4 linked regions of the Styela clava genome follow. The protein of the gene in region 1 purifies or fractionates together with the protein of each later gene. This does not show direct contact. Links are inferred from orthologs where the notes say so. Each region holds a gene or a part of one and is shown in the gene's direction. Other genes may lie near its edges.

The links.
Region 2: the proteins of FAS-associated factor 2-like (region 1) and E3 ubiquitin-protein ligase AMFR-like purify together in Homo sapiens (affinity purification with western blotting; 9 studies listed by BioGRID and IntAct, with this or other methods). This does not show direct contact. The link is inferred for Styela clava from reciprocal best matches to the Homo sapiens genes FAF2 and AMFR.
Region 3: the proteins of FAS-associated factor 2-like (region 1) and ubiquitin-associated domain-containing protein 2-like purify together in Homo sapiens (affinity purification with western blotting; 7 studies listed by BioGRID and IntAct, with this or other methods). This does not show direct contact. The link is inferred for Styela clava from reciprocal best matches to the Homo sapiens genes FAF2 and UBAC2.
Region 4: the proteins of FAS-associated factor 2-like (region 1) and nuclear protein localization protein 4 homolog purify together in Homo sapiens (affinity purification with mass spectrometry; 3 studies listed by BioGRID and IntAct, with this or other methods). This does not show direct contact. The link is inferred for Styela clava from reciprocal best matches to the Homo sapiens genes FAF2 and NPLOC4.

The regions. Positions count from the first base shown.
Region 1 is NC_135256.1:23,646,705-23,654,239, forward strand, and holds the start of FAS-associated factor 2-like, read left to right. Parts: upstream 1-4,517; 5' UTR 4,518-4,663; coding exon 4,664-4,759; intron 4,760-5,893; coding exon 5,894-6,013; intron 6,014-6,117; coding exon 6,118-6,335; intron 6,336-6,817; coding exon 6,818-6,941; intron 6,942-7,405; coding exon 7,406-7,535. UniProt on the Homo sapiens protein: Plays an important role in endoplasmic reticulum-associated degradation (ERAD) that mediates ubiquitin-dependent degradation of misfolded endoplasmic reticulum proteins.
Region 2 is NC_135257.1:56,309-63,441, forward strand, and holds the start of E3 ubiquitin-protein ligase AMFR-like, read left to right. Parts: upstream 1-4,130; 5' UTR 4,131-4,177; coding exon 4,178-4,424; intron 4,425-5,950; coding exon 5,951-6,093; intron 6,094-7,133. UniProt on the Homo sapiens protein: E3 ubiquitin-protein ligase that mediates the polyubiquitination of lysine and cysteine residues on target proteins, such as CD3D, CYP3A4, CFTR, INSIG1, SOAT2/ACAT2 and APOB for proteasomal degradation.
Region 3 is NC_135261.1:15,005,985-15,013,524, reverse strand, and holds the start of ubiquitin-associated domain-containing protein 2-like, read left to right. Parts: upstream 1-4,533; 5' UTR 4,534-4,652; coding exon 4,653-4,674; intron 4,675-5,195; coding exon 5,196-5,323; intron 5,324-5,413; coding exon 5,414-5,533; intron 5,534-6,120; coding exon 6,121-6,212; intron 6,213-6,428; coding exon 6,429-6,597; intron 6,598-7,257; coding exon 7,258-7,359; intron 7,360-7,540. Other genes in the region: uncharacterized protein LOC120329411, read left to right, coding at 1-1,623; ubiquitin-conjugating enzyme E2 J2-like, read left to right, coding at 2,170-2,859. UniProt on the Homo sapiens protein: Restricts trafficking of FAF2 from the endoplasmic reticulum to lipid droplets.
Region 4 is NC_135262.1:3,006,217-3,013,079, forward strand, and holds the start of nuclear protein localization protein 4 homolog, read left to right. Parts: upstream 1-3,839; 5' UTR 3,840-3,890; coding exon 3,891-4,453; intron 4,454-5,236; coding exon 5,237-5,405; intron 5,406-6,455; coding exon 6,456-6,642; intron 6,643-6,863. UniProt on the Homo sapiens protein: The ternary complex containing UFD1, VCP and NPLOC4 binds ubiquitinated proteins and is necessary for the export of misfolded proteins from the ER to the cytoplasm, where they are degraded by the proteasome.

The DNA.
Region 1 (7,535 bases):
TATTAATTATAGACACAGAAATTGTTTAATTGCTTTGAGGAAATATAGTCCTTTTATAGTGATGGTTGGATGATCTAGGAGGAAATTCTGTTTGGGACACAGACGAAATTATCACACCATGCAAAAACACCCAAATTTGATTATATCACACTATTTAAATATTGGCTATCAAGTCAACTCTATACCAATACCTTACCTAAAATGCATCCTTCCATAGAGATATAAAATCACATCAAATTAAAATGACTCACAGCAAATTAATAAAAGTTGAAGGGGAGAATCCAATATAGCTCGACTAGTTTCAAATTCAATAATTAGTAATCTTGCAGGAACTATAATACCACCACTTGAACAGAAAACCAAAACCATGTACATGCATGTGAGGGAAGACCCCATATCAAAAAAGGGTTAGAAACATGCGCATGAAAAGGTTAAAATGTGAACAGATATTTAAAGAAAATATCATCCAGGTATGTCAGCTACCGTGTGATAAAAGAAAAATAGCCATGCATATCCCGATACGAGTGTTTTTGCACCAGACATGATTAAAACAAAAGTAATAAAAATTTAAAAGATGCAGACAATAGCTCAACTGCACGCCTAATCACAGTAACTAGAAGTTTCAGAAACAATAACAATATTATTATAGCTGTCCGACATTCACATGAAAACAACAAAGTGCGAGTGAGTAGTCTCCCAACTTTTTGTCATCGACCATCGACTAAAAAGTTTATTTGCCTTGAAGTTTGATATTTATTTGTTTCAATAATCAATACATTATGGTTAATTTCGTACAAAATTTTTTGGACTTCAACGTCTTCAAAAGTTTGGGTCCAGTTAAAAACAGGGAATGCTGACTCACAGATTTACTCATGAAAGCTATGAACAAATCAGAATTACTTCTTCGGTTGGAGGTATTTTTTATTTAAAAGTATGACGTCAAAGCAGTTTGATAGCACATTATTAGGAAAGTCGTAAGTAAGCTGATGATAATACTTCAAATTTCATCATATCTACAACCTTAAGTATATTTAGCAGTGATGGCCCACAGTACACTTTCACATCTTCTTTCACCAAAAACAATTCTTAAAAAAATTATTACAATTACTGAAGTACTCTGCAAGTTGAGATGGGTGTTTTGTTTCCATGGAGCCAGACTGAGATACAGTATCGGATATGGCTGAGTAACAACGATTGAAACATTGATAGAAGAGAGGCTAGAAAGAATGTAGGCTAGAAAGAATAATGGGCAAGTGAAGATCCTTTAGGAACTCCGAGCTTCATGACGCAAATATTATTAGAGGATGAATTGTCATATTACACAACTTGTTCTCTGTCATGCAGGTAGCTACTAATACAATTGAATGGGATCCCTCTGATTCCATAATTATACAGATTACTTGAAAGAAGAGGTAAAGGATGTCAAACTTTTTTGAAATATCAAGAAATATTCCAATAGCGTGTTTCTTGCCTCCAAATGCCTTGGTTAGCTTATGTTCCAAAACATTAGCAGCCGTAACAGTGGAGTATTGCTTGCAAAAATAATACTGATGCGAGTAGGAAATAATATTGCTCTCAAATAGTTTGACATCCTGCTATACATTATTTTTTTTAAAACATTTGAAAAATGATGATAGAAGATCGATTCTAAAACATGACTTGAGCTTCATTTCGCGTACGATGTTTTTATTTCTAATGATGTAGTTGGCCTCAAAACATGGATGATAATTCTTTCTCCCTGCCATATGAAAGCTGGCTTTTGTCACAGCTAGCTGGTTGTGGCATATTGTCAAGCAAGCTTTGTGCCACGTGGGAAAGTGTTCATTAAATTATTCCGTTTTCCATACTGCTTTGATGTTGCCTTTGTAAGGGGGAAATTTAGTTTGGAGTTTGCTTTTCTAAGAGGGAGCATAGTACAATTAGGAGATGCTAAATACTCTCTACCAAAACAGCACTGTTTACTTCTTTTGTCATATGCTTTTGTCCTAATGTGATCTATACTGCTAGCGAAGCTTGGGGTTATTCCGGTAGGACAGTTTATCAGAGAATAATAGGTCAAGCTGTGCATGATATCGACGAATATGCGGTATTAATATTAAATACATCTAGAACAGTGGTCCTAAACTGGGGGCGCGAGAGGTCACAAGATGCCCATTTGAAATTCTGTTTAAATCTCATTCTTGTTGCTTTATTACATCTTGTTTTGATTCGTATTCTTACAAACTAGGCCAATATGAGCTGTCCCTGTAACTTTTACTCCACTCCATCGTAATGCTGCCACTCGATTATTTTTAGGATATCACCGTTAGAAAATAACGTAAGTCTGCGATAAAATTCCATGGAGTAAAATTTATTTCAAGTCGGTAGTTTTAGAACATAAAAGGTGTGTCGCAGGCTCAAGGAATTTATGATATTTGCAATGTCTACGAAAGCGTTTTTAATCTGTAGCGGGCCTTACTAAAGCGAACCTCATGGTCTTTTCCGTTTTGTTTTTTAGTATTATATATATATTTTATAATGCTGCTCTTCAATCAAGAAATTTTGGATTGTGGATTCATTCCGTCATTCTATCTTTAGCATATCGTCGCTGATGATTATATAATAACTCGTTTTTCTCACATGTGTCATGGTTTCGTGCGAGAACAAAAAAGTAATTTTTATCGTCTTCACGGCACAAAACAGATGTCGGAGGAAATTTATGATTTTGGGAGAATTAACACCGAAAAAATATGTTTACGGCCTAAATAACACGTCACGTTGACGACAACAATCGGCGATTTCAACAAAATGTAATCGCTAACGTCATTAGCGACTTTATTTCTCAGAGGTCGAGAGTAAATTTGAAAAAATGAAGACGTTTGTAATCGTTGTGTATTTTTAACACACAGTAAATGAATTTTTGCATAGCTCAATAGTGATGAAGTAAACAATTGATTGAAATTTAACGTGTCATATGTAAACGTTTAAGCAGAAAATATATTAAAGTGCAAAAAGCATGCGTTTATTGCGTTTAATTTTACTTAAAATTTTTCATCATTCATTCCATTATATCTTCAACTTTGAGTATATTTAGCATAACATATATTTATTATAATTAAACTAATACGACGAAGCATTTTAAATGCTAGCAGTAGGCCTATCGGTCATGGATTGGAATATTTTGCGTAACAGAAAATCATCCTAGTAAAAATTGATTCTTTTACCTATTTTTATCAAAATTATTTGCCGAAAAGCGGGGAAAAAGTATAAATTATATTTTCTAATATTTCACGCGTGAACCACCACCGTGTTCAATATTACTCCCCATTAATTTGACCTCTCGTTTTCAAGAAATTCATTAAATTGTGTCTTATAGCTACTCTACATTTGAAAGTACACAATATATGTTATTAAATTTTGATTTCACTTTCGTTCGCGAAGTACAGGACTGATATTGTGCCGCGGGAATGGCTGGAGTAAACGCCTTGTTGGCGGCTTTCTAGAAGTAAGTACATTTGGTTATTAAATACGGCGTTACATAAGTTTTAATTTTTCGACGTAATGAAAATGAAAGCTTAAATTAGAAGCTGCGCAAGAGAATGGCGGCAATGCCCAATGTTCATGCTTCTGAAAACAAACAAGAGAGCTATGCTCAAATATATGGACACGTAGCGCCACCCAGTGGCAATGATTTTGATGACGTCATAGCGAGAAAAAAAAGTGATAACCTTCTGGAGAAAAATTTTATCTTTAACCACTGAAAATATCAAAGCAATTGGTCCAGTATTCGAAGAGAAAAGCGATTTTTTAAAAATGGAGACGGAGACAAATAACAATAACAACAAAATTTTGAAACGATCGTTATGGCCACTAAACGTGTCCAATAACTGACTAACTAATCCCACACCGGACACGGATTGGTAACCGGACTAGAGACCGTGGTTCTCCATATGATTAACCCATCTTATCGGCTTCCCGCTCTTTCGGGATGAACAGGTAAATCTTATCTTATGCCGATTTTATTTCATCGTCAGTAAAATACGTGACAAAGTAAAAAAAATCGTGGCTATTATTCGGAATTATTCTAAAATTAGCTGATAAACAGATAAAGTATTCAAATACTTTGATAGTCGAATATTCGATTCGTTTTGGACAACCCTGCTCAATCAATCAATCAATCAATCAATTTTATTTCGGTCGCTCTGGTATAAAACGAAACAAAAACAAACGAACAAACACATAGGACCTGGAGGACGGGCATAACTTAAAGAAAAGTTAAAAACGTGAAAATACGCGCCCGTCCACCAAAATACGCGCCTCTGAAGTCATCATCAATTGTGACGAAATGCTCTACTTTGGAGATGTCAACTCTGTATATTTTGTAAATTGGAAATCGTTTGACAGGATCCCAAAAGATTTAGGCCCACGATCTAAAAGAACCCGAACTTTCCGTGCGCCTACATTCTTGCAATATGCATTCGCGTAAAAATGTAGTCAGGTAAAACCTTCTAAATACGACACCTAGCCACCGCTTGCAGCAGAAGTACATGTACCAGTACTATAATACCAGAACGCCAAGTTTATTATTTCTTTTCTGAAAATATATGGGACTGAATAGTATTTAGACTAGGATTGGATTGGTACCGGTGCGAAATAAATATCTAATAGGGCTGTGTATTATTGTATGGCGGACAATAACGAGCAAGTAATAGAAAATGATAGGGGTGAAGATGAAGAAAACTTGAATCAGGAATTAACAGAAAAACTGATTCATTTTCAGGTTAGCTTTGCTATCATTATAGGCTATGCAGTTACTGAATTATATGAATTCACATTCTACAATAACTTAATCTATGAATACATCTGGTGAGTGAAGCAGGCCTAGCCCACCTCTTCATGCATCCAACTTGGCAATTCTGTTTGGGCAATTTGCCATTAGGTGACTCCAATTATAATCTGCTTGACGATATCTTTTCAGGAATATTTTTTCTATCCACAGTACATAACTCCTTTTGCTGTTTTGACTAATTTGGTATCCAATTCCTGAATTCGACAATACTCATAAAATTATTAATTTGGTGTGGCAAAAGAATTTATTCTTTTTATTTGTTTGTATATTCTTCTTCTTACTGCAGTACTGAGTAATTGATTTTATGTCTCGCTTTTTTCACTCCCAACCTTGTCATGTCTCGATGATTGTATGTTTGTGTGTATATGCGTTGTATGCATGCGTTAATTAGTTTACTACTCTTAGGTGACAGGGTGAGCGAACACGTACTACTTCTTCTATCAATACCTCCCCACCCAAAATATGTACGCTTTAAACCTTGCTTGAGGTTTCGTTTGCTTTCCCGACCCTATAATCAGTTTTATTTATTTTGTTTTTTTCTATTGCCTATTGCTGATTATGGAGTCAAAATAAACTTATACTTATAGTAGCGTATCGGATTATTGTTTGGGAAAAAATGAAAATTTGGGTTGTATTTTTACATCACATTTGTGTTTGGCGTTATTTAAACATTTACAGATTTACAGCGTTTACGGTACATCGCGAGACCCTATTGCTGTATTGCTCTGTATTACAGTACTTTGATAGGATTTTTGCCTGTGTCTTTTGATCTTAATTTCTCTTGACGTTAGAATTGTTATGTTACTTTCCCGTCTGACTGTGTTGATAATAACCTCACTGATATTATGATCTGTGTAGTTTCTAAGGCAAGAACTTTACTGCATAAATAGCAGTTTTTCACCTACTGACCTAATTTACGTAATATAATGAAGGTGTAGACCCAATTTTGTACTTTAACATGCCCATGTTTGAGTGCAATTATAGCAAATCAAACTATTTTTACCTAACCAATTTCTCACCCAAAATCTGTCATAATATTAAAATCGTATTTAAAACGTCTTTCAGGAAATCACCAACATAGACGATCTGAATAGATGTAAAACTATTTTGAGGCAACATGATTGGAATGTTGAAAGTGCAGTCCAGTCAACATTTCTTGAGGCAGGAATGTCTAATTCTCAACAGGTTGTATTGTGGGAAGTCCCTCTTTAATAATTATCTTTTAGATTACACATGATTAATTGGCTACGCCTTTCAAAACATTGGTAAACACTGTTTTATTTCTTTAGTCAAATCTACCACCATCGATATCTGCAAATTCTGGTTTAAGACGAAGAAATGTTGCCACCATATCTCCACCACTTCCATTAAGAACTAATTCTCATACGACATTGTATGAAGCAAGAGGATTACAATTGAGGCAACCTCAAGGAATATTTGAATGGGGATATTATGTTTTATCAATGCCATTCCGATTTACATGGTCAACGTTATTTGGAATTGTGAGGTATTTCTGCATAATAATTCTGCACTGAAGTACTATCAGTGTAAAGCCTTTTGAATATTACCTGTTAAATTGATTACACAGTAAAATTTATCAGGCCGATCGCATTTCAAATTCATGAGATCCAAAGTCCTTAGCTATAACAAGTCATGTAAGATTGATTTTAGATGTCATTGTAAGCAACCTTGTGTGTAAGACTATTCAACAGAATAATAGCTGTCAAGGGGAAATCAATTCTTTCAGTTCTAAACACCTTCAAAATATTTCTCACCACCAAAAATGTAGTTGGACTTCCATTTGGCCTATTAATTTCAAAATAACTTTGAAACACCTGAAATGTAAATGGAATGAAGAAATGCTTGTTAATAAACAATGGCAAATAAAACTAGAACCCTATAATGATCCTTTTTTTAAATTTGATAACTATTGAATTTTTATTAATTTTACGCTTTATATTTCATGTGTCTCCTGACTGTTTACCACAGGTTTTTTATGCGTCTCTTTCTGCCTGACACGAGGGCAAGGCTAACAGATCCTCTTGGAGATGTAACATCATTTATTACTGAATATGAAGAATTATATGGTGAACGTCACCCAGTGTTTTTTCAGGTATTTTTGCATATTTTCAAACACATTGTTATATAATTTTCCTACGAAAATCGTTTAATTTCTTTCTCATTGATCATTTATTAGTTATTGATAAAATTGAGTTTTGAATTTCATTGTCTAAGCTCTAAGCAATTAATTCACCATATGTTGTTGCATCTGGCCTTATATATTCTTCACTTCAAACAAAGACTTCAAACAATAAGAAGTTGATCATGAATAATAAAATGGTTCTGAACAAGTCTTTTAAGTATATTACTTGAATCAGGGTAGGTGAATTTTACATGCTTTCTTGCTTGTTCAACCAAAAAAGTGTCCGTCTGCAAGAAATTTACGGAATTCCTCTAAATGATTAGTTTTTATATTTCTGGAGTCTCATAATTATAATTATATATTTTCAAATTTTGAATATCACATCATCCACATGTATATTGTGCAGTTCCGACTAAGCTTTTTATTTTTCATAGGGATCCTATGCAGATGCTCAAAATGAGTGTCGAAGACAAATGCAATTTTTATTGGTTTATTTACATGGACCAGACCACCAAGACACTCCAGACTTTTGTAATAACACTCTTGCGAATGATGATGTTATTC
Region 2 (7,133 bases), on another chromosome or scaffold:
TTCCAAGAAAAATTTTCTCGAGCATCGTCTTCCTTGTTTATTTCGTAACATTGGCCAATCAGCAAGATGCAGAAAAAATGACGTAATAATGGGCCTTTTCGCATCCGCTCAGACACTTTGGTCACCCTGACAGATTTTCAGTCGTGGTTGTAAAAAATACTTCATTTTTTGCGATTCTGAATGCTATTTGTTAGTTTCTGGTTGTGTTTGGGAAATTTAAGTACCGTATGAATCAAATAAGTCAATCATCATTTGCCTCTTTAGGAGTTGTAGTTTTAATAGTAGTAATGAAAAATTAGTCTAAGAAATAGCTGTGACAAAATGGGCTAAAATTTTCTACCGGGAGGCAACGTTTTCTGCGAAAGATGCACTCGCCGAAACTGTTTACGTCTTCGTGCTAAAATGAACGTCGAATGTGCATTTTGCGCTAACAGTACTGTAATCCCTTGCGCACTGGTCCAATTTCATTCTTTTTGACAAAAATATTTGTCCGGCCCGTTTCAACACAGTTTGAGTCATACCCGGCCCGCGTTCAAAAAAGTTTGGTGACCCCTGCTATAGACCTAAAACACCACCGTAGAAAATGCCAAAAGACTGACAACTCACCAGGCCTCTAGGTCAGTAGGTAGTCGAGTTGTCTCTGGTGAGTTGTCCGTGTAGTTGAGTTGTCCCTCAGCCGTTTATACAACTTCATCGCCCCCCCTGCACTACAAAAAATGTAAAGTCTGAAACGAATATATTACAGACCAAAAAGGAAGGCAAATCATAGTTTATAGTGTTTTTTAATTAGATGGATGAGCTTGGTGTTCTTCAACAAGTTATTTATTATATCTAAAATTAACCCGTTTACTGATGAAAAGGCGATTTCGTTGTTTTGATAGCAATAGTAGCACGGTTGAAAACCCCCTTTTCACCATATAATAGGTCAGAAATGAAAGAATTCAGGGTTCTACCTCCATAAAAACCGCCGTGTACGGTACTTGCATTATAGCATTTCACTCCCTAAATTCACCCCATTTCCACAAAATAATGAAAACAAAGTTAATTTTCCCAAATTTATAATGATGATTATCGTACATCTAATTCATTCCTACAGCCAAGACAGCCTTTTGACCTGTACCAAAATACTTCGGTAAAATTCATCCCCGATTCCTCAGTCTACCACGATCTCCAGTTCATAGAATTAATCAGCCATTTGTTTTTGGATTCATGGACTCGGATGTGGAAGAAGTCGTGACCGACTATCGGCTACGGCCCAGGGGCAGCAAATTTTATGTCACTCGCGGGACAAAATTCAGAGTTGCTAGTCTTTTGCGGGTCGCTTTTATTTTTTAAAGTTAAAAACGGAACAGTGCGCAAAAACTGCGACAATTCGTGAATTCAACTCAGTCGTCTTATTAAAAAATTATTACAATGACATTTAATGTGACACTGTCTTGTTGCTGCATCACGCTTGATAGCTTTACGACACCAAGATTGGTACTTTTTCTAAATGGGCGTCACTAATTCATCACCTAGTTCTTTGCTTGTTCTTTGTAATGTTCATTTTCGGAAATAAATTTGCGCACAAATATGTACTTCCAAACATCGAAGTGAGTATTTTCGCATGGTTTGTGAAATTTTGATAAAGATATTCTTTAACATTTTTACAAAAATTAAGCAGTGATTGAACCTCTCGAATAGAATATGAATTTTATTTCCCTATTGCATTGCAATATACTGATATATTCGAATATTTACTGCGCTATTGAACCCCTGCCCTCAGGCCTCAGCATCAACTTTTCTTCGTGTTTCCATTTGTCTAATTATAATTAAATTGTAGGCTCGTTAAACGAGTAGCTGGTCAATGGAATTTTCAGGATATAATAAAATTTAGTCTAAAGCAGGGGTGTCAAACTCGTGGGTTTCCGAGGGCCGCATTGCATTTTGGGAATTGTGCAAAGGGCCGCAATCAGTTTTTGATATATATATTTTGATAATGTATACTTGAAGCATATTTTTAGATGGGTGTAGTTTGTGACATATATTGTGATGCAATTAAACAGTTGAATAAAGTTTTGTTATCTTCCTAAATTTCAAATGACGTTTACATATTAATTATATTATTGCAATTTACCGTAATTACGAAAAATCATGAATTTTTATGTACAACTATCCAAAACATTTTTAAACAAAGTTTTGTAAAGGGAAGAATAATACATGCACTAAAAATGACTTACCGGAATCTAAATATATAGACCTAAAATTTACAAAAATACTACAGAATAAACTCAATGTTTTTTCATTACATATGTCTTGACATTTTGTATCTCTTTTGTGCAACCAGCTTACTAATATCAGGCTGAAATGATTTTACAGTCCCAACTCTAATTAACGAAGTCACATGATCGTCGGTTAATCTGGATTGTTGAGAATGTTCAATTAATTTCAGTAATGCAAAAATATTACGTTTATCATCCCATGTATAAATCCGTAAACAAACAAATGACTGACTTTTCGGACCAGATATTTCACGACATTTCCTACCATTACGTGGCATAGGACCGCTCTAGTTATGATTGATATTGATTTTTAGTAACTAGGTAGTTGTATAATTATACTGTAATAATATACAAACACATGAAAAGTTTATTTTCGAAGTTGATCTCTAAATTTGTCATATTGATTGCTGAGCATATTTTGATAATGTCTACTTATATTGTATTCTTTATTGTACTGAGGAAATGTGACAAATCGAACAATGTGCTCCATTAGTATTTTGAGAAATGCAGAAATATTGCAGCTCCCATTTTTCTTTAAAAATGCCATTTTCTTCATGTACTTTGCGTTTCATTTAATCCCTGAAGTCCTGAAGTGTTTTATTCAAGTATTTTATTGCTAGCTTGAGGTGTATTCATAATTGGGTCAAATTGAAAAACATTTTTATTTTAATTTTTCAGAACTACTTTCAATAAATTGTCGTTTTCTGTGTCAATAAACAATTTCACTTTGAAAGGTTCGAAAAATGTATTACATTTAGATAAAAAAAAAAACTTACAAAATATTACAATTATTGTTAGGCGTCCGAGGGCCGCATTGTAAGTTCTCTGGGGCCGCATGTGGCCCGCGGGCCGCGAGTTTGACAACCCTGGTCTAAAGTAGGCTCACGATAAATTCTGTTGTCTAAAAAATATAATTTACTCCTCGAGCGTAGATTATAAATAAAATTAATTCATCGTCAAAACCGCCGTTTGGATGTTTCCCCAGGCATACCCTTCCTTGTTTACTTTGTGGCATTGCCCAATCAGCAATCAGCAAGATGCAAAAATAAACGTAACAATGCCCCCTTCCGCATCCGCTCAGACACACCCTCATTTTCGCGTTTTTTTAAATATATTTGTTAGTTTTTAGTTGTTTTTCGGAAATTTAATATAAGTCAATGATTACTTTGTCTTCCTATGAGTTTCAGTTTAAATACAGTAATCAAAAAGTGTAAAATAATATGTGATAGACTAGGCTAAAATTCTTTATCGTCACTTTTAAAAAACAGGAAGAATTTTTCGCGGTCAAAGGTCGGGGAAAGGTCCATTCAGTGAATCGTCCCTGAGCAGATTATTTTACTCCGGCCGTATTTTGCCGAGCGATACGCGAACTACCGTAACTTACTGCGAAGACGAGTCCAGTAATCCTTTGGCGTGTAATAATCGCCCCCGTGATTCAAGCATGCGAATGCACACAGAGTACAGAATTAAGTGCACGATGCGTCGAACAAAATCAGGTTTCGTGAAATCGCCCCCTTTGACTTTTTCGCCCCCCTCTGTATCATTTTCGCCCACCGCCCACTTTGGGAATCACTGGGCTAGAGTAAGGTAACCTTGGTCTGTTTAGGTATCGTAATTTAGGTTTCGTTCCGATAATTGCAGGACAGCAGGAACTTGTTTTTACCACTGTCCCCCAAAGTTTGCTGTTTTACCTGGAAAATCACCTAGATGTAGGCGTATATAGATGTATATAAAATGTCCTTTGAAAGACAGAAAGATATCTTTGGTAGGTTTATGTAAAAATTCTTCCCAGTTCCGGTTATTTATGGTCTGTTCCGGTTATTAAAGGAACCCATTATCTGTAGACTATACCGGAATATTAATTTTTTATTTGTGCCACAATTGCAGAAAGTATTTGTTAGGCAAAAACAAGTAAAATGCCTTCGTCTTTTGTCCTTCGAAGGATACCTGTTATGCTTCCAAGCATACAGCTATACACAGTAGCAAGCATTCTATTGCTTGTATTAGTTGTTTTTTGGGCTGATAAGGAACACACAAGAATGAATTCAAAACAATCAGAAAACCCATCAATGACTGTTGATAAGTTTCATACACATCAACAACCAGATGTTGAAATGTCCTCTGTTTCTGAACGAGGCATGTTCGGTATATCTTATGTTCAAGGTAGGCTACCAAGCTTTTGAAGTTATTAATTTGTCATATTACTGTATTACGATTGGCTTGTAAATGGAAAATCGACTGCATGTAGATGTCCATTGTATCATCCTTTACCATACACCAAGATCTATAATATTGATTTTTTTTTCATGGAGCAAACGTTCTCTGTGAAAACCTTGTTTATTTGTATTTGACTACTACTTTTTTTGTTTAAAAACCCGTTATTTCTAGTCGACCATTCATTCCAAGTGCATAACTCTTGATTTTGTATTTCATTTTCTGACATAAAAAAATATTGGCCCATGCTGCATTCGGAGAAGTAATCAAAAAATCGCACTTAGTGTTTTTTCGTCATAAAATTAACCAGAAAAATCTTTTGACATATTGTTACACCACCAATGTCTCTGAATTGTCCGATGTTATGGCTAGCTGAGGCAACTAGTGAAGTTGAATGATGTTCTTGGCAGTCCTTCTATCTTTTTGGTCAGGAATATGCTAACAATTTTAGCATCATAAGGAGCTTAAGTTCAATGCCAATTCTTTTAGCCTAGGTTGGCTGTGCCTGATAACTAAATGTTATTGTCATGGTCTAACAATATAATTCATGTTGGGTGTTTATTGCGACCATCCTAAACAGAATTACAAAAAATGCTGCCTATATTAGTAATTACCCTCGGCCTTGATGTTCGGAAGCATTTACATTTGCAGAAACACTTTCTGTTTTACAGAGTTCGAAATCTTACCATAAATAAAAATATAGAAAGACTTTTGTATGTTTCAGTAAGTTTTTGGTGGTTTGGCACTATTGTGGCCTGCGAACAATGCAAAAATAATTGTGTGGCCTCCGGAGCCAACAACCTTGGACCACCCTGGTCTAGTCAATAAAATGTGAAGCCAAATACTTTTTTATACAATTTTTATTAATGTGAACTATGAAGGTTTTCAGTCGTGGATAAACACGATCATATTATGAGCAGATTGTAACTTGGTGGGATGCCAATATCCTCGGTTACATAATAAATCTTTTCATCATCCAACTGTCTTTTGTTATTATAAAAATTTAGCATTGTTGTGTGATTTAACTGTAGTTATGTGAACTAGTCACAATCTTCTTTAGGCATTCAACTCCATATTTATATATTGAAATACCATCTTCAAAAGACCAGTTTGATCCATGAGTCATTATAGGTATTTGTAAAAGCAAGTGAGAATATAAATTTGCAATATGGGCAAATCTGGTTCTAAGGACACATCTAATCTGATTTACTGTAAACCTGTCAAAGTGTTAATGATTTCACCCAGATAGGATAGGATCTATTCAAGTATCATCAAGTTTGATCAAATCTCAGAATTGATGTGTAAATTTGCAGTTGTAAAATAAAATAAATTGTTCTGAAAGTTGTATTTCATTGGTTGTTCGTGTGAGGAGAATATGGGGCACGATACGGTAGAGCAGACCCTATAGATAGGCCAAACTAACATAGATATTATATAAGTTGATTTCTGGATTGCCAATGTTTTCTTTTTTTCAGGAGTTGTAATAATCATGCTCGATGAGCCCCTTACTCTTGGTGTGTTAATCAATGCTGCTTATTGTTTATTTGCACTTGGCGCAAAATTTATTCTCAAAGTTGTATTTGGAAACTTGAGAGTTGTAGAAAGACAACATATTAAGGTTTGATATATTCCATGGCTATTACCATTTTTTTTTCTCTGTGTAAAACTTTCTAAAAAAGTTTGAATGTGATCTGATTGACTAAACTAATGTAATTTTTAAATTCTTGTAAACCTTAAAAATTGTATCTGATCGTGCCATGCACTGGTTTTATTTTGTCGCATAACATTTTATTGTTTTTTGAGTGCCCACAAGGGTGAATGTAAAATTTCTATTTTAAACTAGGATAAATTAATAGTAATATTTTTATGTTTTGAATTAGTTTGTACTGTAGCCTTTCACTTTTTATGTGGTTTATAGAATTGAAGGAAAAGATATTTTGGAACAGTTCAGAAAAAAAGATATCCATTGTATTGTTTTTGTTAATAGTGCAATTTTGATTCTTATGAACTTAATTAAATATTTAAAAATTGAAATGGAGAACATAACACAGAATGGTGGATGTATTCTAACTGAATAATGATGAATATAATATAAAGTTGTACTGATATTGCATCATACCATGTCTCATTTCTGAATATGTTAATTTAATGCCCTTATATAAAATCAATAGGCATGAGTCAGCTTGTTTGCTGTACTGTCTGCCTCATGCCATCAATTCAATGTTTACTGAGAGAAAACAACCATTTTTCGATGTTACATTATTTTTGTTGTAAAATTTTAAAGATACGTTAAGATGTCATTATTAAAATATATTTTATATTGATAAAATCATGGTATTAGGTATGTATGTTTATTTGCCTCAAAAATGTAACAATCTCTGAATAATAATTAAACAGTAAAACAGAGACTGGATACATGTTCCAGACCTTACCCAACACCCCTAACAATTATAACAGCAGTTTAGGACTGTTGCGTTATAATAGGACAACGGGCATGAAATATGCTATACAAATACAACTCAAGTAAAATACACAAGACAAAGAGGTACGACACAACGACGATATGTATAATTTAGTCAGTTTGTTTATGTCCATGTCACAGTTTATGGCTTCCATTACAAAATGTTCAATAGAAAATTTAACTGATTATTTTTATAT
Region 3 (7,540 bases), on another chromosome or scaffold:
ACTAGTCTATATTACTATCCCAACACAAAGCTATATTACAATTATAAAAATGGGTGCTATTATAAATATAATCAGGACTCACAAGAATACGAGTTTCAGCATCAACTTATGAGCTTCAATGACACGTCAAATACGAATATTGATAGAGATGATATTATTGGAAAGCAAATAGGTGATAAAATTTTTTTTTCGTCTCTGAAAAAAGCGGTATTTAAATATGGAAAATCTCAGAAGAGTCATCTCAAAGCAATCCAGGTGAACGAACTTTGCTCCCACTTTACGAATAGCCAATCTGAAGTTGAAGGGATGGCAGAAAACAATAAAAATTGTATATCAATATGCAAAACTGAAATCGGGCGATCACCATATCATGATTACAGTTTGTCTGATTCAGAGATTGAATGCATTAAATCAACAAGGAAAAATTATCTTGTATGTAGGAAATGTTCTAACATAACGGAAACCTGTTGTTGCCAGAATGAAAAATGCTTAAATATGAATATCAATGGCAAATCAGTATGTAACAGAATGACAAGAAAAGATGAAAAAATATCAGAATTAGACAGTTGCTCTGATACTGAACTAGAGACATTGTCAACACATCCTTTTAAATTTTTGAAATGTCCAAAATGTTTGTCTTTTGTTAATTCTGTTTGTTGTGAAGGTATAACAGAGTCGAGAAAACGACGGAAAGCTTCGGATTTAGCTGAAGATTCAAATAAACGCCATTGCTTAGAAAACTTTAAGTTAGTGTGTGATGATTCTTCCAAATTTTCAAAAGAAAAAGTCATTTATTCAATGGATTGTTTGGATGAAAATGATACAGACTTGGATTTAGAAACTAATGTGATTCCATGCATTCGAGCTATGGTCACTTCATCTAAAAGTCTAACATCTGGTACGTTATTTTTAATTACTCGTTATGGTGCAATTTTTGGTTCAAGTGAAAACTGTGAAATTCAAATACAAGAAGCTGATGTAAGTCCAAAACATGCAGCAGTGTTTTATAACCAACAACAAAGAAATTACTTTGTCACTGATTATGGGAGTGAGAATGGAACAACTCTAAATTCTATCACCGAACATAATCCTGGTATAACAACTGTGCTAGCCAGCCCTATTACACATAAAAGTGTGCTAATAATAGGAAACACTGTGTTTGTGTTACATCTGCATATTGGTTATGATACATGCGATGACTGTGAACCTGGTCAAATCCAAGCCATGATTGATACAAATAAGACCAATAATTCAGTTGAAATTTTGACAAAAAATGAAAAGGAAAAACAAAGGCGATCTGAGTTGAAGAATATTAGGAGAAAATATAATTTACATAATGATAAATATAAGCAATCGGAATTCGGTATTGAACCGCAGTATGTGGATAGAGCTTCTGAAAGAAGGCGATTGTTAGGCAGTGATAATCCATATGAAAAAGATGAGATGCCAACTTCAATGCAAACAGAGTTGGCCGATCACAACAAAGGCCACCAAATGCTAAAGAAAATGGGTTGGAATAAGGGACAGAGTCTAGGAAAATATCAAACAGGGATTACAGAACCTATTGCACCTGAAGGAAGTGGAAAAGGGAAATTCGGACTTGGTTACGGGAAAAATAGATAACGTTTGCTATAATTTACCTTTGCTATTGATGTTCTTGTATTGAACTATCTGGTGTCATAAATGCAAATTGTACAAACATTTTTCACGATACTCATTTTAATATTTTTCAAACATGAATTGGTGTCAAACACAGTTGTATAAACACATTGTATGGATAACAAATTTGAAAACATAATTCAAGACCTAAGTGGTCTGTCTAATTAATCTTGCTACCCAACTTCTGCCTCAACATCGTCTATGACAGAACACAGAACCATTCTTGAACTTATTTTTTGATGCAAAATTGTGTACGTACGTACCACTTGAAAATATGCTTCTGCTGTATAAAAAACAAATTCTGGAGTTATTAATGAAGAGAAATTTGTCACTATCACACCTTGTCCGTACTTTGTTACCCACAAAAACTATTCGCCAGAGTGCATGGATGCTGAAAATACCACGGTAAATCCTTTACTGAATTTAATTATTTGTTTGTGCAATATTTTCTTTTGTTTTTACAGGAGTTACGGTATCTTATAATAAGTTATATTTAGTGACAGAAACAATATGTCTCGTAAAAGCTCATCTGTGCAGCGTGCACCAACGACGGCTACACAAAGACTTAAACAGGACTATCTTAGGTTAAAGAAAGATCCAATTCCATATGTCACTGCAGAACCCCTGCCATCTAATATTCTTGAATGGCATTACTTGGTGTTAGGACCCAATGACACACCCTATTTTGGTGGTATATATCATGGAAAATTAGTCTTTCCGAGGGAATTCCCATTCCGCCCACCTTCTATATACATGATCACCCCATCAGGAAGATTCAAATGCAACACAAGATTGTGCTTATCGATAAGTGATTTTCATCCAGATACTTGGAATCCTGCCTGGTCTGTAGGAACTATTTTAACTGGGTTGTTAAGTTTCATGGTCGAAGATTCTGCCACATTAGGTTCTATTGAAACATCACACTATACAAAACGTCAACTCGCACTTCAGAGTGGACCATTCAACTTGAAAGATTCAGTTTTCTGTGAACTATTTCCAGGAGTTGCCAAGGAAATTAGAGCAAGTATGAATGCTCAAACAACATCTCAGACAACAAATGCTAATGTAAAAAATGAACAACAATCAAACGCTGCAAATGAAAGGGAGAGAGACAACCAATCTAATCTTGTAAATTTAGTTATTGTTGCCGGAGTTGCTCTATTTGCTCTTGCAGTTAATAGCGTTATTCAAAGTTTATGAATATTATATTTGTGAAAAGTTTATATCGCAAATTTAACTTGATAGAAACGATATAGATCTTACGAAGTATCGTACTTATTACAGCCGTAAGCCCGTAATAAGCCAACTCGTGCTAAAAAAAATTTTGCTTAGATGGCCTAAATCACTGCACCTCTGTGCTTGTTTATGTGAATTAATTTGCAATGCTCATTTACTTGTCAAAGGATACTTCTGTAATGCCTGCTTACATTATTGCTGAATATTAGATGTATATTAATTACGCTCCATCGATAAGGTACAATGTGAAACTGGAATACAGATAACAAATAATTACTATGGTATGATGAATCGTTAATATCGTTTTTAATTTATATGGTATTCTGAAATTTTGAACCTTAAAATAGTCAACCCAATACTTATATTGTCAACACCAATTGGATAGGACTCCTCTGTTTCATATGACTAACACTATTTGGAGGAAACTTAGAAATGTCACTCAATAAATTCCATCAGGAATACAAAAAATCATCAATGTTGCATATTGGAATTGTTTATCTTTGAAGGAGTAATTTCAAATCATTTATTGTTCAATTGTAAGTTTATTTTTTCGATGTCCTGATGAAATCATGGCAATTTGTATAATTCGGTCATTATTCAACTGAGTATTCAACACTCATATTTTTTGCTTTGCGACAATATTTATCGAGTGTATTGTATTTTTCATTGGCAATCCATAAAAGGAGTATAAATATTATGTTGTGGAAAGTTGAGATTATAACCCTGTTACTTGAGATAACATGTAGGTATTTTAATGGCCATACCCATGGGTTAATTCATTACATACGACAACAAGGCTCACAATTATTAGTCAGCATTGGTGATATTCTAGTCAATTCAGAAAAAATTAAGGATTCGATATATTTAATAATGAATCATATGTATTTCACTGGTCAACTTTATCTAACTTCCGTTTACCGTTTGACAATGTCGTTAAATTATTTAGATTACTTAACATACATTGAATTTCCATACATGCTAACTTTTTTGTACACCTGAATCGAGTGTTTTTTCTATTGACTTCTATGTTATGTTTTAAATAAATTAGCAGTTCTAGGAGTGTGTAAGAGTAGCATATGTAATGTAATAGTAACAGTCTGTTTTGCTCCACTGTGAATCAGTTTGCTATGTTGTATATAGAATATACGTGTAAATATCGTTTTACTTTGTTGAAATGAGTTCCAATTGGGCACCGTGAGTGAATACATTATATAGAGGAAATATTTTTTTGATTGGAAAATATTTTTGTCGTCACCTTAATGGCAATGTTGGTTATGCCTCTTATGTGTATTTATTTCTACATATTTTGATGTTTTTGATTTTCAATTCGGACAATGTATCTGAAAACCGAACTAAAAATTGCTTTGGGATTTTGGGATGTGGTACTTTTGTAGGTATACTTTTGAATCTGAAAGGGAGGGAACGTTTTTTGCCAGTTTATTATAAGAGTTTGTTTCTGTGTTTGTGAAGTGCAAAAAACAAAAAGGGAAAATTTTGTTGAATTTTCAATCTAGTGACCATTGATTGCAGGTTTTGTGATTTTCTTGTATGTCCACACCACATGATTTGTCTTGTATGTCCACATTTGTTTTTTTCAAACCTTCAAATTCTGTGCGAATCTTTTATTTCATTATCTTATATTTTGCGTTTGTATCATATTATGTCATTATGTAAAACATTAGTCTTCAAATTTTGTCATCTATTCAAATCCATGGACTGAGCTCTTCAACTTGAATATTAACATCCAAAGATTCACTATGAATGAGAATCTTGGATTCTGTGAGTATGACATTGTTACCTTTTGACTAGTACACATATCGCTATTTCAAAATAAAATATTTTCTCGATACAATGAATTATCCTAATGATGCATATTTCATATTTAGTACATGGCATGGAGGAGCTGATTTAAATTAAATTGCAATGGCTCCAACCCCAGCTCAAGCTTTATTCTTTACCTTGGAGCTAGGCTCAGGCTCTGCAGTCATTGAGGTTTTTAACATCACCACTAACATAAGCCCAAATGCAGTTTCGAAAGGTTTACTCAAAACTATGATATACGACTTACCGTACATATTTTTTCACTAAACTTTAAAATTCATCTGGAAATTTTCAAATTAATATTAGAAATTAACGGTGATTTGTTCGAAATATTAAAAAAATTATTAATGGTAAAAAATTAAATAGAATTAAAATCGCAACTTCCGATGAAGCGAGTAATATCAAAAGCAATCTCTATTTATTAAATACATGAATTTTTCAGCCTCATCATTATTAACAATAATCTTTTGTTTTTACAGATAAACGCACAATATCGAAATGTCTTCTCGTGATGTATTTTACAACATATGTTGCTGTCAACACATTACTTCATGAATATAAAAATTTCTTTGTTTACGATATATCAAAGATTTTAAATAAATTTGAGGTATGCATGAATGTGATGATTATAAATAAAGCGCCCTCTTTGTATCTAACATACCTTTTGTATTAATGTGTTCACAAATTTTTTTTTTAGCTTTGGAGGCTTCTGACAGGAAAATTTATATTTTTAACTCCTCATGAGTTCTTTTTTGGAAGTATTTTATTGTACGGGTTTTCAGATTTTGAAAGAAGATTCGGTTCATATAAGTTCATGGTAGGTGAATTTTTTTGTACTATTTTTAGCGAAATATCTCTACAGAGGAAAAAGTTGAGTGCCTTTGAACTGAATAAAGGCATTAAAGAAGTAGCTAATAGTATGTAAGGAATTAACTAATCTTAAAAAGTCATTACCTAATGACTTTTTAGTATTCCCTCCCATGAATGGGAGTTGAATCTGAAATTTTTAACTTGTGATGTTACGAAGTCCCAAGGCTCTCGCCACTCAGGGCAGGGATAGGATTTACATATTTATCCTTGAGGGAGAGGGAAGCCGATAAGACGACTTAATCATATGGCAAACCACAGCTTTTCGTCCGGTTACCAGTTCATGTTGGGTATGGAATTAGTTGGCCAGTTATTTGTTGGAAGCATGAACTTGATGGTGGAGAAAGTTGTAGCTGACCAGCGGTTATGTGAACCACCCTACAGCGTCGATGAGTCCAGCAATCTTCTCGCACATAACTAACCCCGCATGGGATTCGCACCTGCAAACCAATGCAGTGTAATCAGAGGTGCGGTGGTGAGCGTATTCCTAACATGTTGCACCATTTTTTAGCTTATACTGGATTTTTCTTTTTTCAGTCTTTCATTCTATGCAATTGGCTGTTGACATCATTACTTGAAGTTGCATTTACCACTTATTTCAAAGAGATCAAGATATTGCCATCAGGAATGCAAGTTTGTTATCTGTATACTTATTATTTATACAGTTCAATGTCGTAGTTAAATAAGCATTTGACAGCTAGGCGTCTCTATTACTGACTGATATTCAAGATAAGTTGAAGAGTTTGTGTAGGAGAATAAAACCCAGTATGGTTATTTGAAATTATGTCCGGTTGTATTTGTAAAGATGACTAAATTCGTGAACCTATTCTTTGATCATGTTTTAGGTACTGGCTCATCTATGCTCTCTTGGTGTTTTATTATCATGATATACCTGGAATTGAACAGGCTCGATTTGGCCCAATTAGGATTACTCAAAAAATACTTCATTATGGTCTGGTGGTCCAGATTATTGCTACTGATGAAACAAGATATCCTGTTTGTGGACTCGGTTTGGTAAGTATATAGTGAACTGTAATGGGTTAATGCATAATACTGTACGAATCAACCAAATGTATGATATAAATAGAGTGATTATTACTCTTGCAGATGAAATTGTTTCCGAGTGGGGTGGGATAAAATAAATTTTGTATATTTTCACTGGAGTCTGAACCTGAATTGTATTTTTAAACTCCTTGATGTCGTGTCGAGAGTTTAGGTAAAATTCTGAATTATCTGGAGACTGAGCCAGATTGCAGGCTTATAATGTCCAAACTTCCTACTAAAACTAATAGTTTAACTAAGCGCTCTTACCAGACAATTAAAAAAGGCTTGCATATGCTGAAGTTTTTGTTATCAAAATTTGATTTTCTCTAAGAGTTTTTTACAACCTGGAGTAGATTGTAAATTTTCTCCTGCTTCACAGCCCTGGAGGGAAGGTGCAGGACCATTTCTATCCTATTTGTTGCTATGTAAATTCGTCTTCAACCAAATTTCCTTTCAAGCACAGCTTGTTTATGAACCATGCCTTGTTTTGCTGTTGATTATCAGATCTAACCTTGACTTGCACTGCTGTTTGCGTGCTTCCAAAATCCTTAATTAAATAATTTTTTATTTTGTCATAAATTTATAAAAAAGTATATAAATGTATATAGTGAAAGTTTGTTTTACATTCAGATTTCTGGACTCATTTACTATTATAATATTTTGTATGTTGGAAGTTTTTTATCATTACCAGATACATTTCGAAAAACCACAGAAAACTATTTAGAAATGTTGGTAAGTAGAATCAGGGTTTATTAAAATCTAGATGCACATAGCCCAAGATTGTATCAAATCTATCTACCTTGTAGACAAGCACCTTGATCCACCATATATATTATAATGATCTGTAAAATTTGTTCAATCATATTAGTTTTTGCCGGAGAGTCTGTAGATAGAAATGTTTGGTATGACACAT
Region 4 (6,863 bases), on another chromosome or scaffold:
TTAAAGACTGTTCTATTTAAAGATTATGCTGTGATTATTCATGTTCAAATTATTGAGCTAAATATGATGTCTGGGATTTGAAAAGAATATCGAAGATGCGAATGCATTTTTGACCCTATATGATTATAATTGATTATTTTTAGTGGAATGTTTTCAAGTGACCACTGGTGTAGTGAGAAATTAAAAGTTATTCAACACAGAATTTTTTTTATACCCAAAAGTTTTAGTAAATCTAAATGCTTTGCAAAAAAATTTTTTCTAGTATATGTTCCATAGGATCTGGGTTTCATTTTTCAGGGGTTATATTGAATTTCGTATGATTTTTTGATCAAGTTGATATAGGATAGGATTTACATATTTATTCCGGAGGAGAGGAAAGCCGATAAGACAGCTTAATTATATGGCAGCGAACCACGGCCTCTGGTCCGGTTACCAGTCCAGGTCTGGTATGGGATTAGTTAGCCAGTTATTTATTTTTGGAAGCATGGACTTGATGGTGGTGGAAGCCGTAACCGACCAGCGGTTAAGTGAACCACCCTACGGCGGAGAGGAGTCCAGCAATCCTCTCGCACATGATCATCCCCACATGAGATTTGAACCTGCGAACCCATGAAGGGTAATCAGAGATGAGGTGGCGAGCGTATTCCTAACGCTTAGCACGATGCGCCACACCGCCGAGCCTATAGCAAATCATCAGCAACACCTTTCCCCTTTTTAATTTGTTTTCACATGGCGATATAACCATGGGACCATTGCGTATAGATTTCTGTTTCTTAGATATTTTGTTTCATATCTTATTTCAGTTATATTAAATGGACAATTTTTATGTCTTGTTGAACCGCTTTATCCATTTTCTTGTTTTCCCAGTGCAAATATGAAAAGTTCAGTGAAAACTGTTTTTTCCAATTATGCAATTGTTTTTATATCGAAATCCATTTAGACTTTTCAAATTTCAATTCTAAATCAATCCAACAATAAAAATTTATTTTGCTCGTTTATATTTTCATGTCCATGAATCTGGAATGACTATCTGATCAGCTATTTCCCTCATGAGATTCTATATCTGCCTTATAATTATGTTCGTTATTGACTTTTTTCTCCTGAGATAAATAATAAAAATCTTATATGTTTTTAATGATTCTGCAATTTTTTTATATCAAACTTCATATATCGTGATAATAAAACTGTGTGAACTTTCTGAATTTCCAGTTCTTGAAATCATTGTATTTTTCCTACCTACAATTCCTTCATTTCAATCCCTGATTTTTTCCTCCATGATATATATTCAACCAAGGAAACTTGGATAATATTGGAAAAGTGGATCTTGGTTAACTTTCTCACAATGGGAACACTCTTTTTTTCTGTGTGGAAAATGTTCTTGGTCACAAATGAGACTTACAATTATTCATAAAATGCAGCTGGATTAAATTACCGACATTCAAGTTTATGCCCATGTTTACATGCTTGTGTAAGCGTGGTTAGAATTGCTAGTAACAGGAACACTCATATTTTCTGGGATGGGAAGTGTTTGTGGTTTTATAGGAGTAGTCACAAATTGCAGATGGATTAAAATCTCGGCATTCAAATTTCTGACCATGTCTTCATGTTTGTGTGAGCATGGTTAGAATTGCTCGCAAGGTGAACACTCTTATTTTCCAGGTGGGAAGTGTATGTGGTTTTTAACAAGACTCATAAGTACCTTTAAAAAATTCAGCTTGATTAAATTTTTGACATTTGAATTTTTCCTATGTTTCCATGTTTGTGTGAGTGAGGTTAGAATTGCTTGTAATGGGAACACTCTTATTTTCTAGGTGGGAAGTGTTTGTGGTAATATTGCTCTTTTTTGAATGATGACTGTACATATATTACATCTTGATTTCTGGATACTGCTATTATGGTTGATTTAACTTCATGGATTAGAATTCATTTGTATAGCCTAGTTAGTAAGAGAATCTCCTGTTATGTTTTATCGGGACTGCCTGGCTCTGTATGGGATTAGTCACCCAGTTATTTGTTTCAGATGCATGGACTTGATGGCGAAGAAAGCCGTAACCGACCAGCAGTTTTGTGAATTACTGTACAGCATTGAAAAGTCTAGCAATCCTTTCGCTGTTATGTCGATACTCTCTACTCCAGTCCCATAGCCTTGTGAGATGTCCTTCTACCACTGGTGCTTTTTTGGCGCGGCGGTGAGGCTCAACGGGCTAAGCGTTAGGAATACGCTCGCCACCGCATCTCTAATTATTTCGCGTGGGTTTGCAGGGACGGTTATGTGCCTCCTCGCCGTCAATGGGTGGTTCACGTAACCGCTAGTCGGTTACAGCTTCCTCCACCACCAAGTCCATACTTCCGAAAACAAACAATATAACTAATCCCATACCCGACTTGGAATGGTAACCGGACGAGAGGCCGTGGTTCGCCATATGGATAAGCCGTCTTATCGGCTTTCCTCTCCCCCAGGATAAATATGTAAATCCTATCCTATTTTTTTTTTGATGATTTCTTATATTTTGCACAATTGTTTTATTTTTAAGAAAAATATAATTAACTGTTTGTTCATTAGGCTATCGGTAACCAATGATTTGCCCATTGTAGGAAAAGAAAATTTATGGTGGATGTTGAATACCAATATATTATATACATAGCCTATAAAGATTCACACAATGCCACTTACTGACTATCCTTTTGTGTATGCAAGTAGTAGAGTAGTCTACTGCCTTAAAAATATTTGTGTAGCATGACTGGCAATGAAACGCTTTCGTTAGTATTAAAATATCCCAATCACTTAATTAAGTGAGCCGACCTTGCTTTGGTATGATTCAGTTTGTGAAGCATGACTGGCAGCAACGAAACCCTCTTATTAGTATGAGAAAATTCTGGCTAGACTTATATTTAAAATATTTCTCTTCTCTGTGATGTTTTTACATAAACTCTGCTTTGATATGATTTAATTTATGAAGCATGACTGGCAGCAATGAAACCTTTTATTTCGAATAAGAATATTCTGTCCAAACTTCTCACTCTGTAATAGGCCTAAATTATACCAAAGAAGACTCGTTTTCCATTTTTTTTTTATCAATTCTGTTTAGTATTTGCGCTTCACCTGAGAGGCATACGCATAATATACTATGACAGTGGTTTTCAAACATTTTCCTGCTACACCCTACAGTTCCACCAATACAGACAGTCTGGCGGTTCCGCAAGTTTCTACTAAAATCAGAAAGTTTATGCAAATTATTCCTTATCGATCTTGATCAGTAGTATGTTGATAGGTATTTGTCTGTTTGTTTGTCTGTCAGACACTTTCGTATGTTACGTGATATCTCACGAAAGCGAGGTTGAATCTGCTCCAAATTTTGCATGTGCATTCATCATATCTCGAACCAGAAGCCTATTGATTTAGGATGAATTATATCGTATAATTAGCGAGTTATTGATTAGTGATGGGACACGCGGTGTCACTATTGAGTCATAGTGAAGGTATCGAAACCGCAGTTTCTGTTTTGGGGGATCCCCTAACTTTCGATCAATAAGTGGTGGGTCTCCGACCGATATTCTCGTTTGAATATTGGCCACTATTTTGAAAATATGCTACCCTTTCAAGATTATGCTTTGCCAGTACCAAGTTTACAAAAGCAAATTTATAGTCTATACAGTTCTGACAATAAAAGACAATTTACCGTAGCTATTGCACAGGGATTTTTCAAGCCTCTGGAAGTTCGCCAGTTTCTGCAAAAAGGTTCAAAATCACTGATCTATGGAAACATTCTATTTGTTGATATTGCTTATGCAAACCTCGTAGGCCCTTACCACTTGTAATTACGCTTTATATGCAATTTTCTAACCATGCAGCTAATTTACAGATATAGTATTAAAATAATTAAACCATAATGATAATTAGAATCCAGTCAAAGGATGGTACAAAACGGGTTGAGGTAACATCTTCGGAGACGGTTACATCATTTCTTGGGAAGGTCGCGGAGGAATTTGCTCTTGCAAATGAAAATTGGTGTTTGTTTCAAAATCGTGACCGAACAAATGAACTTAAAAAGGGGTCACGGTCAAAATTGAGTAACAAAAAACTGAAACATGGAGATATGTGTTATCTTATCTTCACTGACGGAATGAACGTAGCTGGAGATGGAGGCGTGGTTGAAAACGAAGCCCCGCCCATAGTGAAATTTACAGAGGACGAAATTGACGTAGAATTATGGAAACAAGATGGTAGGATTCCGCAAAATGAAAAGAGTTCTGTCAGAGGTGGAATGTTTAAGATTGATGATCTACCGATAAACTCATGGGATGAGTCATATCTTAAATCAAAGGATATTAAGTTTTTATCGTTTCATGCGTACATGCGCCAACAGACTTCTGGTGTGGACAAAGGGAAATACTTTAAACTGGAAAGTACCAGAACTGCTTGCAAACTAGAAGGGATTAGCGAAGAAAAAAGGTTTGAGATTTTTTGATTTATATCTCTGATTAAGGTTGTTACTTCCAATTAGTATGCGTATCAAATCTGTGACGAGAGAAATCTAAAATGAATATTCTAAACGATTTTAAGTTAAATACGTTTCGTGTAACAAATTTTGAAGTTTTAAAATAGTTTATAGATACTGCCATTTGTAGAATTGTCAATTTGGAAAAAGTTTATTTTCGAAATTGATACTGACATAGAAATTGCTTAAAATTTATTTGGAGAGAATATTTGAATTAATTTGTCTGTATCATATCGAGAATACATCGCAGACAAATTGCTCTGAAAAGTATTGAATGAACAGCTAAATACAACTACTGACAAAATTAAAGCAATGTACAAGTTTGTTTATTCTAGCGGAAAAAATTTATGTAAACAACGGCTGCCTCTTGAAACAATAATTTCATTTAGATTTATTCTAGAGCAGTAGTTCTCAACAATTTTCAATCATGGCCCGTTTTTGTTTAACAATAATCCTGTGGCCCAAAAACTTCTTTATGCAAAGGAAAAACTACAAGAAATACTAAATCTTCCCACAAGAATGGACACTTTCACATTAATAATTAGAATGAAAATTACCACTCAGTAGCAGAAAACAGCATTGTCATTCATTGCTGCTACAATCAAAATTAACTATAGGGACACAAATAAATTACTACTAATTTTTAATAGGTCTTTGGTCCAACAGTGGGCCATGCATGTTCCATTGGTTGAGAACCTGTGTTTCAGACTAATCTCAATTTTGAATTCATTCTTTAGATCTCTCCTCGACCTTCCAACGGCAATCACTCTGAATCAACAAAAATTTCGTCATGTTGATAATATTATGTTTGAAAATCGAGAAGTCGCTGATAGATTCCTGAATTATTGGAGGAATAGTGGAAACCAGAGAATGGGATTCATGTATGGAAGATATACTCAACATAAGGTATAAGATGAAGAAATATATACTCGTTACCGTATATATATAATTCGCATATTATAAGCTGATCTTGCATATCAGCCAACTCCCTTAAAACGAACCTAAAACGTTGAATTCATAAAAATTTGCATATAAGCAAATCCTACAAATTGTAACTCACTGTACTCACCTGTCACATCAAATGGTTGCAGAAGAGCATTAATGAAAATAATCACCATTATTGTTGTTTAACTTTTATTAATAACAGCAAGAAGTGTCTCAAAATCCCTAAAAATTTATCCCCACTATCACCTTCTCCATCTTTCCAATCCCAGAGTTGTAAGAGCGTATCAGCTGACACATTAATTTGACAACATTTTTGTCAAGTTTTGAACTCGGCTCATATGCGAGGATAAACGATATACAAAAGTGTTTATACAAGTTCCAAACTGAATTGGTTTTTCTAATTAAGGGGAAAATAAAATCCAAGATGAAAGAATCAAAACTGCTCTGGAAAGTTTGATTTCCACGATATATTTTGGCGACCTCTCTTACTCGAACAAGAGCAAAATCTTGTCATGTCACAAAGGCACTGACAGAATGGCAAAACTAGATGTTGCCCTTTTATAGCCTGATGGGAATACTTGATATAATGCAAATAAGAAAGATTGAAAAATTTAAAAAAAACATTTTTTTTTCAAGTCTCGTCTTTGAATAATAATTTTGCTTTGCAATATACTATGCATTGTTGAGAGTGCTTTTGACAGTGATATACATATTATTCAGGAAGTGTGAAAGAGCTTTTGCAAGTTTTGCTTCTTCGGGTTATTCAGATCATGATTATTCTTTACAATACAATTTGAGGCTTTCAGGACAGAGGGTGAATTTGGGAACTTTTAAAAAAATTATAAAAATTGGTTTATAAAGTGGTTTTCTAGTCAAAGTTTAAGTGTTGTTCACGACAAAGTATTTTTATTAAAAGTTGGAAGAGTTTATTAAAAATTAAAATTCCCCATTTTCCCAGAACAGCTTTTTTTTTCAAGTTTTGTTTTTTCTGAACTATTCTTATTATTTTAGGAAGTACCACTCGGCATTCGTGCAGAGGTTTGTGCAATATATGAGCCACCACAGGAAAGCTCGGCTAACTCGCTGAAGATCCTGCCCGACCCTCATCAAGAGATTGTGGAGAAAGTAGCGAAAGCACTTGGGCTTCAGAAAGTTGGTTGGATCATTTCAGACTTGGTTGCTGAGGATAGATCTAAAGGTATTGTTGCCTTCTGTTATGTTTGTTCACTCGGTAATGACAACATCGTGCTATGCGTTTAATGCGCTTACTATCGAACCTTAATTTATGGAGCATGACTGACAGCGTTGAAGCCATTTTGTTGATATGGGGTTATTCTGGCCAGACTTGTACATATTTTACTGATATTTTATACTTCGCTATGATTTTGTTTATGAAGCACGACTGACAGCAACGAAGCC